2 linked regions of the Arabidopsis thaliana genome follow. The protein of the gene in region 2 interacts with the protein of the main gene of each other region in a pairwise test. Each region holds a gene or a part of one and is shown on either strand. Other genes may lie near its edges.

The links. The genes of interacting proteins can lie anywhere in the genome.
Region 1: the proteins of AT5G28040 (region 2) and MBD4 interact in binary tests that used the Arabidopsis thaliana proteins (3 or more experiments, as listed by UniProt).

The regions. Positions count from the first base shown.
Region 1 is NC_003074.8:23,292,183-23,299,078, forward strand, and holds MBD4 (methyl-CPG-binding domain 4), read left to right. Parts: upstream 1-3,102; 5' UTR 3,103-3,211; coding exon 3,212-3,259; intron 3,260-3,730; coding exon 3,731-4,243; 3' UTR 4,244-4,444; downstream 4,445-6,896. Other genes in the region: AT3G63020 (hypothetical protein (DUF3049)), read left to right, coding at 2,243-2,857; AT3G63040 (uncharacterized protein), read right to left, coding at 4,464-5,027; AT3G63050 (uncharacterized protein), read right to left, coding at 5,768-6,190; AT3G63052 (uncharacterized protein), read right to left, coding at 6,729-6,896. UniProt on the Arabidopsis thaliana protein: Transcriptional regulator that binds CpG, CpNpN and CpNpG (N is A, T, or C) islands in promoters regardless the DNA methylation status. Plays probably a role in gene silencing.
Region 2 is NC_003076.8:10,035,644-10,043,627, reverse strand, and holds the start of AT5G28040 (DNA-binding storekeeper protein-related transcriptional regulator), read left to right. Parts: upstream 1-4,626; 5' UTR 4,627-4,690; coding exon 4,691-5,974; 3' UTR 5,975-6,044; exon of another isoform or gene 6,045-6,591; intron 6,592-7,511; 3' UTR 7,512-7,984.

The sequences.
Region 1 (6,896 bases), on a different chromosome or scaffold from region 2:
TCTCTCTTTTGTTTAGTTGGTGCTCTTCTTTAAAATAATGATAGAAGATACAAATAACATTTTATATACAGGTAACTTCTTACTTTGAATATAATTTTTTTCCCCGATTAACATTTGACTTTTCTAGTCCTAACATCTTGCAAAATTTTGTAGTACTTTAATTTTTTAAAATTTTGTCAAAGTATTTATGACCAAACTTTTGGCTCATTGATGCGTGCGTGAAAACGACTCTCGTTTGTCTTGTAATGAAATTGTCTTGGCAATTACTCGGGGAAAGTGTCTTTCTTTTAATTTATTTGTGTGAATATTGTCTAATTATTTGGGCAATTATGTTCCGTGTTTGGAAAATATATTGCATTTGTGTAACAAAGGATCGCTCTCATATAGTTTTGTGGTCTTTAATTCTGACAAAAAAAATCTTAAATATGTTTGGTGATTTATCAACATCTTCTGATTTCTCCATAATTCATTAATTTGTCGTTTACACTAAGATTCTTTCTTTTGTCAATGGATTGGCTTTGTCGTTTGTAGACTATATTCAATGCTTTAGATCCAAAATTACAAATTTATTAAATAGTCATCATCTAACTAACATTTTTGAGCTTAAAGGTTTGGTTTGAGGAATCTTTAATTTATAATTTCAAAAGGGTATCAATAGCTTATGGGTGTTACTTTTTTTTCTCTGGTTCACATTAGATGTTACAGGCTGCGGTGCGTTTGGTAGTGAATTCGACTAACATATCCTATGTAAGGAGGTGTCGATCGTGTATGTGGGAGAGGAAACGAAATTAAAGAAGAGCAGTCTTTATTTTTTATATATAATCTCCAAATTAGTGGTAATTTTTTTGATAAACATTTACAAATATTAGTACATACAAAGAGAGATAAATGTATACACAGATATGTATATATTCTAATATATTTAAATCAATCAAACCATAATAACTCAACCCATATCGAATGATAGTTTATTTTTGTTTTTTTGTCGGTACATCATAAAGAAATACTAGAACATAAGAAAAATAAAATATTACCAAATTAAGAAAATAAATCCAATCCACACTTGACAACAAAATAACCTGATCATAGAAGAGAAAATCAAAGAGGTAAAGGGGAAATAACGAGACTATAAAATATGGGAAGAAGTTAAAGAGTAGAGCTACTCCGAATGGAAAGTGTATTAGATGTGCAGAGATTCATAGAAATGGAAGAAAAATAGAAAAAGAAAACGAAAGAGAAGAAAAGTAAAGAAGAGACAAAAGCATTGAACAACGATGCTTTTGTCTTTATTAGCCTATTAACCTAAACCCCTAGAGATTCAGACACGAACCTTATTCATCTCGAATATCTCAAACCCTAAAGACCATTAAACATCATCGCTCTCTTATCACTTTCGCATTCATCATCAACTCGTCATCATATGTATGTTTTCATTCACATGGAGTTAGTCCAGAATAATAGACTGCATGCCGTTTAACGGTCTAAACAAAGACAACTTGTAGTAACGTGTTTTCTTACAAAATGACATAGCAAAATTAGCATGCATGGCTCAGGAGTTATCACATATCGTTAAAACATTTTGGGTTTGCTTTTAGCGATTGCCATTTGTCGAGTGTCTCAAAAGATTCTTGTGGCCCGTATAATGGGCTTTAGAATATCGTTCTATAAGCCCATCAAATTAATGAACTGAGTATTATTTCCGGGAAAGAAATAACGTTTTATGCAATTACGACCCAATTAACTTTATAGTTTTTTAAAACTGATGGGGAATGACCCAATTCAATGTTTTCACCCTCTCAATTGCAGCCATTAGTTAATACTGTAGTAATGTTTAGAAACTAGTTTCAAAATTTTCGTAGAAAAATTCATGTAATATTTTTAAAAATCATTCGATGTGCTGCATGCGTATTTCCCAAAAATTAAAGTTAATATGATTTAAGATTTTGTTCACAATTACTGCCACCAGAAAAAGGACGGTGAGATTAATATTTTACAGGTGAAAAGATTTTTCCAAGACAAGGTTTAATTTGACCATGCGGACCAATTTACTTACAAGGTGTCATGGTTTACAAAAGCCCGTTAAATGAGTAAATCCTGATCTGTTTGCCACGCTGGCAAAACCTCTCGCAGAGGCCCCACCAAATACTATAAATCATTAAATCTCGTTTAAGGCCCAAAAAATGATGCAGAGTTGCGATCGTAGAGAGTAGAGAACAGGGAAGGACGAGCGGTTATGTTAATCATGACGTCATCCTCTACGATTCTCACCGGAGATATAGATGAAGAACACCGCACGTCGTCAATGGCAGAGGAAGACACGCCTACGCATTCCCATCGACGGCGCTGGAGCACTCCTGTTGATTCCGGCGGCGAACCTCTTCAAAGCTTATCCGTGAGCAGATCTCTAGAGATAAAATCAGACCACGAGAATCCCGACGACGAGTGCAGGGAACATAGAGGTGTGTGTGGAGTTATTCTTGACGAATATTTCTCGTGTTCTTCGAAAAATAACAGTTACAGTTTCTATCTAGGAGGGAAGATATCGCCGTGGGGACCGTATGGACCGCCGCTGCTGACGGAGTCGAGATCAAAGGCGCCGTCGCCGCGGAGAGGAAGAAGCGTGACGAGGAAGCGAGATCTGCCACCATTTTTGACGACACTGGATTGTAACGGACGGCCGAGATTTCATCACAGGAGAGTGAGAAGCGAAGGACGGTTAGAGATTGCCAGCGTGGCAGTAGATTCACCGGAGATCGTTAGTGTTCGTGGGAGAGAAGGACTAAGAATCGGAACAGTGAGAATCAGTCAACAAAACGACGTAGTAGAAGATGATAATGAAGATAAACAGAATCACTGATCTTCCTCTTAGAATTTTGATATTTTCAGCTAATTTTCCGGGGGGAAAAAACGACATTGTAGTCCGATGATCCGTTAGAAACAAGATAAGAAAAGGGAATTATGGGCTTTACTTATGAATATTAGGCCCATAATAATATTTTGTTGCAAAACAAACCTGGGCCTGAAGCCCAAATAATTCGCTCAAGCCGACGTGTTAATTTATGATTTGTCCGTCACAGTGATACATTAAAGCACAGGCTGTGCGGTTATCACACTGTTCGCAGGAAGACTTATTTGAGAGAGTTTTACTTTTGGGGGACACAAAGATTTGGAGAAAAAGTTTACTAAAAAAGAATCTGGGGAAGTAAGTGAGATGAAGGAAGAGGAGGAGATCGGAAAACCAGCGAAACCAAAAGCCAAGGTAGTCCCACAATGACTTACATATATTTCGCTTTCCATTTTCTAGGTTCCGTTCTTTGCGTTTTTCTTCTCTTTATTGTGTTAGATGCGAACCTTCTTATAATTCCGGTCAAAGTGCATGCGTTTTTCGTGTTCTTACTGTCTTTGGAGATCTCAGATCCCGTATTAGTAGTTACTATTGATGGAGGAAGTTATACAAGGCATAGAATTCTAGGTTATCAGTTTTGGGGTTCACGATTTTTTGGTGCTTGGAAGTAAATTGTTGGTAGTTAACTTTGAAATCTTTGGTCTTGCAAACTTTGAGTCAGTCTCGTGATGTGTCGTTGCTTTCAGTTATTGCTCTAAGAAAGCCTTGGTTCTTTTCTTTAACGCTTGCTGGAGTAGTGTCGCTCCTTATTCTTGCCTTACATTATATATTTCTTCTACGCTCACAAGTCTTGTGTGGGGTTGTTTCACTGAGACTTAATGGCAGAAAGATGTTGCTCCTGGGAGGTTGATTGATACCTATGCTGCACAGTGCGATAACTGTCACAAGTGGAGGGTGATTGATAGCCAGGAGGAATATGAAGATATCAGAAGTAAAATGCTCGAGGATCCTTTTAACTGTCAGAAGAAACAGGGCATGTCTTGTGAAGAGCCTGCTGATATTGACTACGATTCTTCTCGGACTTGGGTCATTGACAAGCCTGGTCTCCCCAAAACGCCTAAAGGTTTCAAGAGAAGCTTAGTTCTCAGAAAAGATTACTCTAAGATGGATACCTACTACTTTACTCCTACCGGGAAGAAGCTCAGGAGTCGCAATGAAATCGCTGCCTTCGTTGAAGCCAATCCGGAATTCAGGAACGCACCACTTGGAGACTTCAATTTCACTGTCCCCAAGGTCATGGAAGATACTGTTCCCCCTGATCCGAAGCTTGGCTCTCCTTTTCCAAGCACTACTACCACTACTTCAGAGAAGAGCAGTGTCAAGCAGAGCCATAACTAATATGTTCTCTTCTACCTTCTTTCTGCTCCCTAAAGCAATGCGTTTTGAGTCTTTATAGATTTGATGTTCTCTAAAACTGTTATGATATTAACATCTCTAAGCAAAAAAATATGATCTTTTGTCTCTTCTTTAACCGGAACTCAAATGTTAAATATTCTTTTAATTTGGATTCTTACACCAAAGAAACACACTTATTCCTTACAAGTCCCCTCGTAAAACATTAAGTAGAGGCTACAACTCCGGGAATTCTCTCATGGCAAATCCTCATGCACCTTATAGTGAGCGGTTCCTCTTGAAGAATACTGCACGATGTCTCACAGACTTCCTCGTTGGACATGAAGCATCCGGATATGCATTTTTTATAGGCCTCCGGTTCGGTGTAAGACAGGCATTTTCTGTTGCATTTTGTCTGCAAACCCTCATTAGCAACACCTTCTCCTCCTATGACCATCATCTCTGGTTTGGACTTGGTGCGAGGGCAAACGGCCATGCAATGTTGAAAGAGTCCTTCAAAGGGGTTGCAAAATGCCTCACAGAAGGGATTGTGTTCTTCTTCTTGTCGTCCACTTGTCTCTTTCTCTATCTCCATCATCAACAGTTCATTGCACTTATCTTCACACTCTTTCTTCTTGTTGTGGATATCATGTTTACAGTTGTGCTTGCACTGTTCCACCACCAAATCTTCTACTGCACTTGACACTGTTGCACTTTCCAACACCAGAATAGCCCAAATCAGTGAGATGACTACTACCTTTGCTTTTGTTGGTATCATGCCTCTAGTCATGTTTTATAGATGTAATAGGTTATGATGATAATTTTTGTGTTATACTATATAGAGGGGTTGGTTAGTGACATGCAAGATTCTACAGGTGTTACGGGTACGTGTAGGTCAAGATTCTCCTATCATCCACTTGGACATCATGCTTTAGCCTGTGCATAGACGTGTCCAAATCCAACATAAGGAAACTCCAAAAAAATAAAAAGAAGAGAGGAGACAAGTTCCAATGACTTCAATTGATCCTTGCATTGAATTTGAGATGGTTTAAGGCAGGTGTCTTTTTCTCTTCATTTGTCTAATGGGTTCATTCACACACAAAATAGTTTCAGTGGTTTTGCAAGCTATATGTATAATCTCAAATTAGGCAAGGAATAAACTTATCATGTCATGGATAATGTAATGAGAGGAATAATTTTCCTCTCATATCTGTTATAATTTCCTTAGCATGATTTGATTCCCAATCTGCTTATAAATCATGGTAAGTGCACAACGAACCTATACATCACTTTACGTGTCTTAGCTTTGAAAAGAGGTTCTTGATAATCACATAAATTTTGATATTATACAATAAAAAAAATATATTTCAGAATACAAATTATACATTCATGTAACATGAAGAATGGAGGAAGTATGTGTATCGTAAAATTGAATTGATGAAAAAGCTAGATAGGAGTCTTTAAGACATATATGAGGTGAAGAAAGAAAAGAGTCAAAACAGAGAGGTCATACACTCATCATGCATTTGGCTACAAGCCTTTTCGCATCTTCTCGAGTCTACTCTGAATGAAAGCATGTGATTTAGTGTTTATATCATTCAAAAGAGGCTTCGGCTGTGTCACACCACCAGCTCCAGTTTGAGCTACTGATCGCCTAACGTTTAGCTCACTCGCTAAGTTCTTCTTTGAGCCGTTACTACCATTAACCAGCATGATCACCCTATCTTTCTCCGAGCTTCTTGAGATATTGATGGGATTAGCGTTGTTATCCTCGGACTCTTCTCTTTGCTTGAAATAAATTGTGATATCAGACTTTGATTCTTTCTTGATCAGTTTCTTTGTCACAGACTTATCTTCCTTGTGACCCGCACCCGCCATGAGTTTAACGAACACCAACTTTAAAAGCCGCCGAAAAAACCCTCTCTTGTTGTCATCATCATTTGCTCTCTGCATCGTCTATTTGTTTACATGAATGTCTGATTATGGTGTTGGTTTATTATTATATGAAAAAATTAGTGGGATTATGGATTTCTTTTTCCGATTGCTTTGCTTTGATTCTACGCTTTGGGGGGAAATGTGATTGTCTTTGTCTTTTCTATATCTAAGGAAAACAGAATTTATCTAGTTTCTTCTTTCATAATACTCTTTTTTTGTTTTTTGGTCGCTTTTTTAACTAAAAAGAAATTTGCTTTTGTGCAAGTTTTTCTTCCGTTGGAGCTGGAGATTCGCTTCTTTATTGAAAGATGAAGCTCCCTTATCACTGTAAATTTCGGTTGAGTGGACGAAAACTTGTAAAGATTCTTTATACACTTACAAGACTTGTTGATCTATCTATAAAAGTACTTCTCACTTATGTTTTTCACTTTTGTTATTGTCACGTTTCAATTCGCGTGAATCACGTGTTTTGATGATAGCTGTTGACTTTAATTTTGACAAAATTCTCTCGACGAAAGAAAAAGTTGCTTGTCATTGAAACGTAAGCCCCGTTCAGTTAGTCCATAGAGGAAGAGGTGAATAACTGTCGAACGGCCATGATATCATCGGCGGAGAGACCACATAAGCTCCACACACGCGTCTCAGCAATTTGAATCTCTCCACCGCAAGATTCTCTCGTTACCGAGGCCGCATCTCTGCGGATAAGTGGCCCGGGGACTTTCCT
Region 2 (7,984 bases):
GCGTTTGCGGTTGCAGGCAATAGCGATTGGTAAATTTTTTTTTTTATCAAACCCTATATATTTCAACAAATACGTAAACATTTTTAAAAAGTTAAAAGAATATTCTCAAACCCTATATATAATAAAGATAATTCTTATAACTTTTTTTTTATCTATCAAAATCATGACGTCAATCCAAACTCAAAAATGACAAGATATAACCTAAGTATTGTAATATTATTTTTATTTCAAATGGTTATTTAATTGTTTTAAAGTTCATATATTATAAATATTCTAAACCCGTCTTATCATCTAATCCTGTTCTGTAAAATTAAACATTATTTTTTTTATTTTTTGTTTGAATAATATTTTTATTAAAAGATTTATAATTCACATCAATTTAAAAGTTTTATTTCAAATGATTATTTAATTTTTATAAATTTCACATCTTATAAATATTATAAAACGTTTTTCCGTTAAATATTTTAAATGTTTAATTAACTATAATATTTATCTTTTAATCAAGTATATATTAATAATGTCCTAAAATTTTTCATTTTTATGTAATTAAAATTGATGAAAATATATTAGATAAGGAAATGCTACAAATTAGGAATATTAATTAATTAATAATAATTGATGGTAATGGTATTCTTTGTAAATAAGTTTCAACTTGAGGATTTATTTGCTAAAATGGCTGAAAAATGTATATATAGATTTGTTAAAAAATATTTTATATTAGATTATTTTGCATATGAAATTATAAAAATGTTAATTACGTTGATTATTTAATTACAATAATTGTTACAATTGAGTTAATGTCGTAATGCAATTGCCAACATATGGGCAAATGATAAATTTTTATAATCAAATTTATAAACGTTCTAGGGTATCAAACCTCATTTGAATTATATTATTTGACAAATGTGGAGGTCACAAAACCCGGTTTCTGTGAGTTTTGGACCCTATCATCTAATAAAATCGTAGCTGTTGGCTTTTGGCCAGTTTTTCAATCATGGTCGTTTGTTTTGATTACGTTAATTTTGGAAGTTATCTTACCTTGATTAAATCGAGATCATCTTTTTTCTCTGATCTTCAAATCGTCGACCGTTGTTTTTAATTTTATCAAGCATATACAAAAGGTGCTCTTGCTTGATTGGTCCTTAAATATGCTCAAAAGTTCAGAGTTTTGAGCTAACTATGAATCTAAAATATGATTAACAATTATAGAAAGGTAAAATCAAATAACTATTTTATCTCTAATCAAATTATAAATCTATATATACATTTTTGCAGTCATTTTGTGAAATAAATCCTGGAGTTGAGATTTATTTACAATGGCTGCCATTACCTTTTAATTATTGATTTTTTTCCAGCAATAAATTAATTAACAAACTAAAAATATTCCAATCTCATATGTCACGCACACAGTATTCAGCAACTATTTAAAACAAAAAATGTTTGACAAACAAAAATATAATTGCAATCCCTTAAAATGAGCAAAACACACCTAAATACATTCTTTATCTATCCAATAAATCTTTTTTCTCCAAAATTTGAACTAGATTTTGGCAACTATTTAAAACAAATATTTGTTTGACAAACCAAAATACAATTGCAATCCCGTAAAATATTTATTTTAATTATATATTTAAATTAGCGGTGTACCGCGGTTTTTTTTATGGGATGGATTTGGCGAGACGGGTTTGGCAGGACGTTACTTAATAACAATTGTAAACTATAAAATAAAAATAAATAGATTTAATTTGCAAACTTTTATATATACTAATTTAAAAAATAAATTGTCTCCGCGGTATACCGCGGGTTAAAATCTAGTATAAAATAAAGAGCAAGACAATTAAATCAATGGTTAAACTATTTTTTCTAACAAAATCATTGACAAAATCTTAGAACAACAAAAAAAAAAAGAAAAAAGAAAAATCTAATTCAATTTTTAATTTACAATTTAATCAAAGACATTAAAGAACAAATTTTTAAGGAACATCATTTTTACTAATATTAACCAATTAATAATTATCAAGAAATCAGAAATTTAAAAGGTAATTGAAAATAAGAAAATCAAATCCGCATCAATTTGTTAAATACAGCAAGATAAATGATAAGATCCATTTGTTAAAATCACCATTTTTTAGAACCATTAAAAGAAGCCATCAGATTCCAAAAGAGAAAAAAACAACTACTTGCCTAGTGAGCTAACATTTTACAATGTTATGGCCTCAACGTAACTATTGTGCAGCATCTGATCAACAAAATTTACATGCTTGAACTTCAACTTAAGGTTTTTGGGCGTATAATGTAACCCTTTTATCTCAACAAAGTGAGATATAAATTAGAAATCCATAACCATCTTAATGTAATCTTCTACTCTTCGTTATTCCAATATTTCCAAAGGACTAAAAGACTGGAACAACAAAGCCACATGCGTTCGATTAAGACAGCGAAATAAATCTTTGTTAAAGTTGGTAAGATTTTCATAGTCTTCTACTCTATGAACAATAAGATCAACTACTTTGAATCTTGATGCATTGATCTAGTTAGCAAAATTAAAAAACAAATATGAATTCATTTCTAAAACACTCCAAATAAAAGCAATAACTATACATTAATATAACTCTACAACTTCATTTGCAACACCAAGTTTGTAAGGTAGAGAACAAAGTCTCTCCAGAATAGTCCTTTCATTAACCAAAATGATTTCGCGCTAAGGAGGTTATCTATGGCTCCTTTTGGAGTAAAGTGGTCCTTGTTAACTCCATTGAATAGGTACTAGATTCATAAGGATTCATTATTAACAATATATCCCAAAGTTCTTCCTACTCATGTGAATTGGTTAGAGAGCCCAATAGTCCAACAATTATCGATTTGTTGGTGCAAAACCTCATCGAGAAGACGTAGAGCTGAGATAATTACCTATTATGAAGCACCAAATTTGTTTAGTAGTCATCACCAAAACTATAATTCTAAATCTAAACCTAGAGAAATAGAAAATTTAGCGACATAAGGAGAAATTTACTAACTTGCATAGTCAAGAATGAGAAGCCATTAACACCAAACATATATATATATATATATATAAAGCATGTGTAACATAATAAAAAACCCTGAAACAAAATCAAGAGAGCGATAAAAAGAAAAGCATACTTTTGGTTCTTTTCCACCACTTCAAAGCTATAGAGATTCAAAATCGAGTTTAAAGCATAGCTATAGAAATTCATAGATTGAGAGTCAGATTTACCACAACACCAAGCCAAATTTCAATGCATAATGAGGAAGTTGGTTAAAGCGTACTTCAAAGCAATAAGGATTTAGAGAGCCGAGTTTCTTGAAAAAGCAGTATATATAAGATTTGTAACCAGCGATTTTGATCAAGTAAAGAGTTTCTTGATTTTGGTCAAGTAATGGTTCTAACATAACATATGTATAAGATCTCTAACCCGCGAGAAAAACAAATAGATCTTATGTAATTTGACTTGTTTATTCTTAATGAGGTGAATTAATTTGGACTTTGAAATTATACTTCTAATGGCATTGGTTAGTAATACTTTAGAAAAGGCAATGTGAATTTTCTAAAGGTACTTTCCTTATATTAGTATAAAGATATTTTTTTCATGAACTAAATGCATGGAGTAATAACATTTAACTATGAAATTTATTTATTTTGAATAATTATGTAGAATGTTATATATGATTTTAATTATTAATTATATTTAAATTATGTTACATTTTATTATTATAATAAAAAATATTTGGTGTAATTATACTTTCTATAATTATTAATTATATTTATTTGGTTTAATTTCGTTCAAACCGGCTGGTTAATCATTCATAAAATTTCTGTAAATGCACCAATTTTCAAAAGCTAACCATATCATTGAAAAATATTTCATAATGTTTAAAATCACAACCGTCCGTTTTACAAACTCTCGCAAGTCATACAATATCCACTGCGTTTAAACCAGTCATACCTAAAAATAGCCATTGGGTGTTACAACAAATGAAGTGAGCGGTTAAAAATTAAAACAAGCCGATTGTAAGCCACATGAAAAATCTGTGAGTTTACCAATTGTTTTGATACTGTATTAGTTTTTTCAATATAACTTTATTTGTATTGTTCTATTAAGAGATTATTAATAGTAAAAGTAATTTTATATGTTATCTAATCTCTTATATTCCTTCCTTATAACAATTTTTTTCAATTTAAAGTAACCACCTTTTTTCATTGTTATGTCATCGCATTTTCTCTAATCGCTTTTTCTATAATCTCTAAAAACATTCTTAACCGTCATAAACAACAGTCACCAATCACAACACCCGTTAATATGGGACGTTGAAGAAACGCAACAGTACACAGAATAACAAAATCAAGTTTGTCGAACGCTTTTCTGTTTCGCCGCGGTTGCGGTAGACCATTGACTTTAAACACATGATCACGCTTCAACTAAAACCGCAACAACCCAAACAAAGCACGGGTAAAAGAAACAAACACTGGACCACTTGCCTGCAACCGCAACACCCTTAGTCATAATTACAACTCTTAAAATCCCGAAACTACCCCTACTCATCTCCAATATTCTCCATACCCTACCACCACCCAAAAAACAAACCCGTATCAATCCTCGTGAACCCAATTCCTTCTTTCTGGATCTGATTCGATCTACCAGAAAAATTTCTCTCTCGCTACGTTTTTCTCATGGCATCGGATCAACGTGACACTGATTTCTCCGCTGAATCACCAGATCTAGAAGAAGACGGCGGCGGTGGCGGTGGCGGAAGAGGAGGAGGAGAAACTGAATCCGACGAAGATGTTGTTATACCCGAACCAAACGAAGCCGAAGACGACGATCACGATCCCGATCCCGATCCAGAATACGAAGATCTGAATTCTCCGTCAATGATTTCCAGAGCTCCGGCGACGAAATCATCCTCAGGAACCGTAACCGTCGCTCTTCCCGCTGGATCCGCCGTACCTGTAGCTTCAATTCCATCAGATTCCGATCAGAAATGGCACCGTATGACTGAAATCGTTCATCAGAGACCACCGATTGATGATTCACGACGTTTATTCCAGAGACTATGGACTGACGAAGACGAGATCGAGCTTCTCCGTGGCTTTCTCGATTACATCACAAACCACCGTGGTAACAGCTCTCATCCGCCTGATACGGCGCCGTTTTATGAACAGATTAAATCTAAGCTACAGTTAGAGTTTAATAAGAATCAGCTTGTGGAGAAGCTAAGGAGGTTGAAGAAGAAGTATAGGAATGTTATGAGTAAGTTTAGTTCTGGTAAAGAAGTGTTCTTTAAAAGTCCTCATGATCAAGCTACTTTTGATATCTCTAGGAAGATTTGGAATCAAACTGGGAAAATTATTGGTTTTGAAGATAATAATGTGATGGATTTAGAAGAAACTAATCATGTAAATAACGCGAATGGTAGCTCGGGTTTTAATGTCTCTGTTATCGGTAATGCGAATGTCGATGTTGATTCGGAGAATGGTTTAGAGAAGAAAGTGACGATAAGTAGAAAACGATCACGGTCTAGGATCGGGAAGATCGACGAGGATAAGCCTGTTCTTGCTCCGTGTGACGGGGTGATACCGAATGCGGTTAATCTTAACGAGAATGTGGCTGTTGGTTGTGATTTTGGTGATGGGAGGAATCTTGGAGTGTTGATTGAAGAGACGGTTAAGAATTGTGTATCGCCCATGATTAAGGAGATGATGAATAGTACGACGGGTATGATGATGGCTGCAACGGGTGGGTTTCCTGGAGGTGGTGCTCATGCTCTCGGTGTGTTGAGTCCGATGCTAATGCCGTCGATGAATTTAGGGTTTGGTGGTAAGGGAGTAGGGGACGAACGGTGGAGGAGACAACAGATTCTTGAGCTGGAAGTGTATTCGAGGAGATTAGAATTGGTTCAAGAACAGATTAGAGCCACGGTGAATGAGTTAAAGACAATGCCTAATGGAGGATGATGCATAAGGAAAGACTACAATGGGTTCTTTAAGTTATGAGAAAATGATGAAGAAAGATTATGATGGTGAGGTATAGTATTAGCAAAAGTAATAATCTTAATGAAAATTTCTGATGGTGATGAAATCTTTTTTAGGGTTTTAGTATTTTTTTTTCTTGATTGAATCTTTTTTTAATTTTGTCGATTAGGAGTGAATAACCTTTGTTCTTAGCTGATAAATTATAGTTTTTGGTAGAGTTCAAAAAAAAAAAAAAACTCTTTTGTGCTATTTATAATGTTTTTTTGTGTGATGCATATAATATGATATTATACATCTAATGATTAATGAACATTAACATGTATTCTTTTGGAGTTTGATCTATGTATTCCGAAGACGTGTCAAGTGTAGAATCTTTGGTGTTATGTCTTCTCTTCGTTACCTGTTGAAGTTATTATTATAACTCTTTGATATATCTACATATACATTTTTGGGGACGATTTGTGTCGAAAAATCCTTTTTCAATTTCGATATTGTATGGTTAGTCCCTACAAAATCAATCAGACAAAATATTTTCTTTAGGACAATAACCAAATTTTTGATAAACAATTAAGATATTGCACTAACTACTTGCCTAAACATGGATATTGTTAACTACTACCCTCATAAATTGCACAAATCAATCCCTAAAACTATACGAAATTCATTATGCTAATTTCCTAATTAACAAAACCCGGAAATCAATCATAACTAACCATATCTACAATTATTTGATTCGAAAATAATTTTAGTTTTAAATGCTAATGATATCTTACCAAAATTTATTCTTCTTTTATCAATTGCAACACAAAATCTAATTTCTGTTACCTCAAATAAACACACAATATACTAGAGAAATCTGTATTTCCGTTCTTAATTGGCTTTACGCCTAAAAATATTTAAACAATATTTAGTTTTTGATTTGAAAATATATAAATCGTATATGTAGTTATAACAAACAACTATTTTCAAATCAAATGGTTTCCTATTTGAATTCTAGAAAAAACTGTAATAATATTTTAATGTCATATCTAAAAACATAAATGTGATCGATTTCTTTCCTACAAAAATGGTAATCTTTAGCATCTTCCATAACTAATTTATATTTTTTCAAATTTTGAGTTCAATTTTTCGTTAATTTTCGTCAATCATTGTTAATATATCTTTTGGCAAAATTTCCCTACAAAAAAGGTAACCACATTAACACTTGGGTATTGTTTTTTGTTTAGATTTGTAAACTAATAACAAGCATATATTCTCAAGATATTTGAATATCAGAATATTACCTAAATTAAAATATCTAGAACATTCTAACGTCTAAATGATCCACTATAAATAACCATCTCATATCGAACAATTACCACAACCACAATTTGCCTCAGTCTAAATGATCCCTCCGAATTCTCATATAGCAAGGTATTTCTTATGCATAGCTCTAGAAATGTTTTGCTATACAGAATATTTATCAGTGCTTGTGTGACGAATTTAATAGATTGAGTTTGTGATTTTGTTGTTTGTATAGCTTTATGAGCAAGCTATTGAGTATGAGAAAGGTTCGTTAATCACTTCTAATGGAGCTTTGACGATGCTTTCTGGTGCTAAGACTGATCGAGAGATAAGCGTGTTGTTAGAGATGCGATTACTGAAGATGAGCTTGAGCTTTGGTGAGGAAAGTGAGTATTCTTAATTCTTATCTCCATTTTGATTGACAGAGTTTTTATCCTCTATTTTGGTTTATTGATTTTGGCTTTTGATTTTCATTTTAATTTTAAGGGTTTGTCTAAAATTGAAATCGATGAACATACTTTTATTGTGGTGAACAGAGAAAGAGCTGTTGATTACTTGAATTCTTTGGAAAAGGTTTACCTTATGCCTAAGCGTTAGATTCTCTCCCATCATTCTAGATGCAATATGGGAAAAGATGGAGATGTTGCCCTCTTCTTTGAACTTTTAGGTATTGCAACTTTTTAAGCCGACGTGAACGCTGAAAAAGGA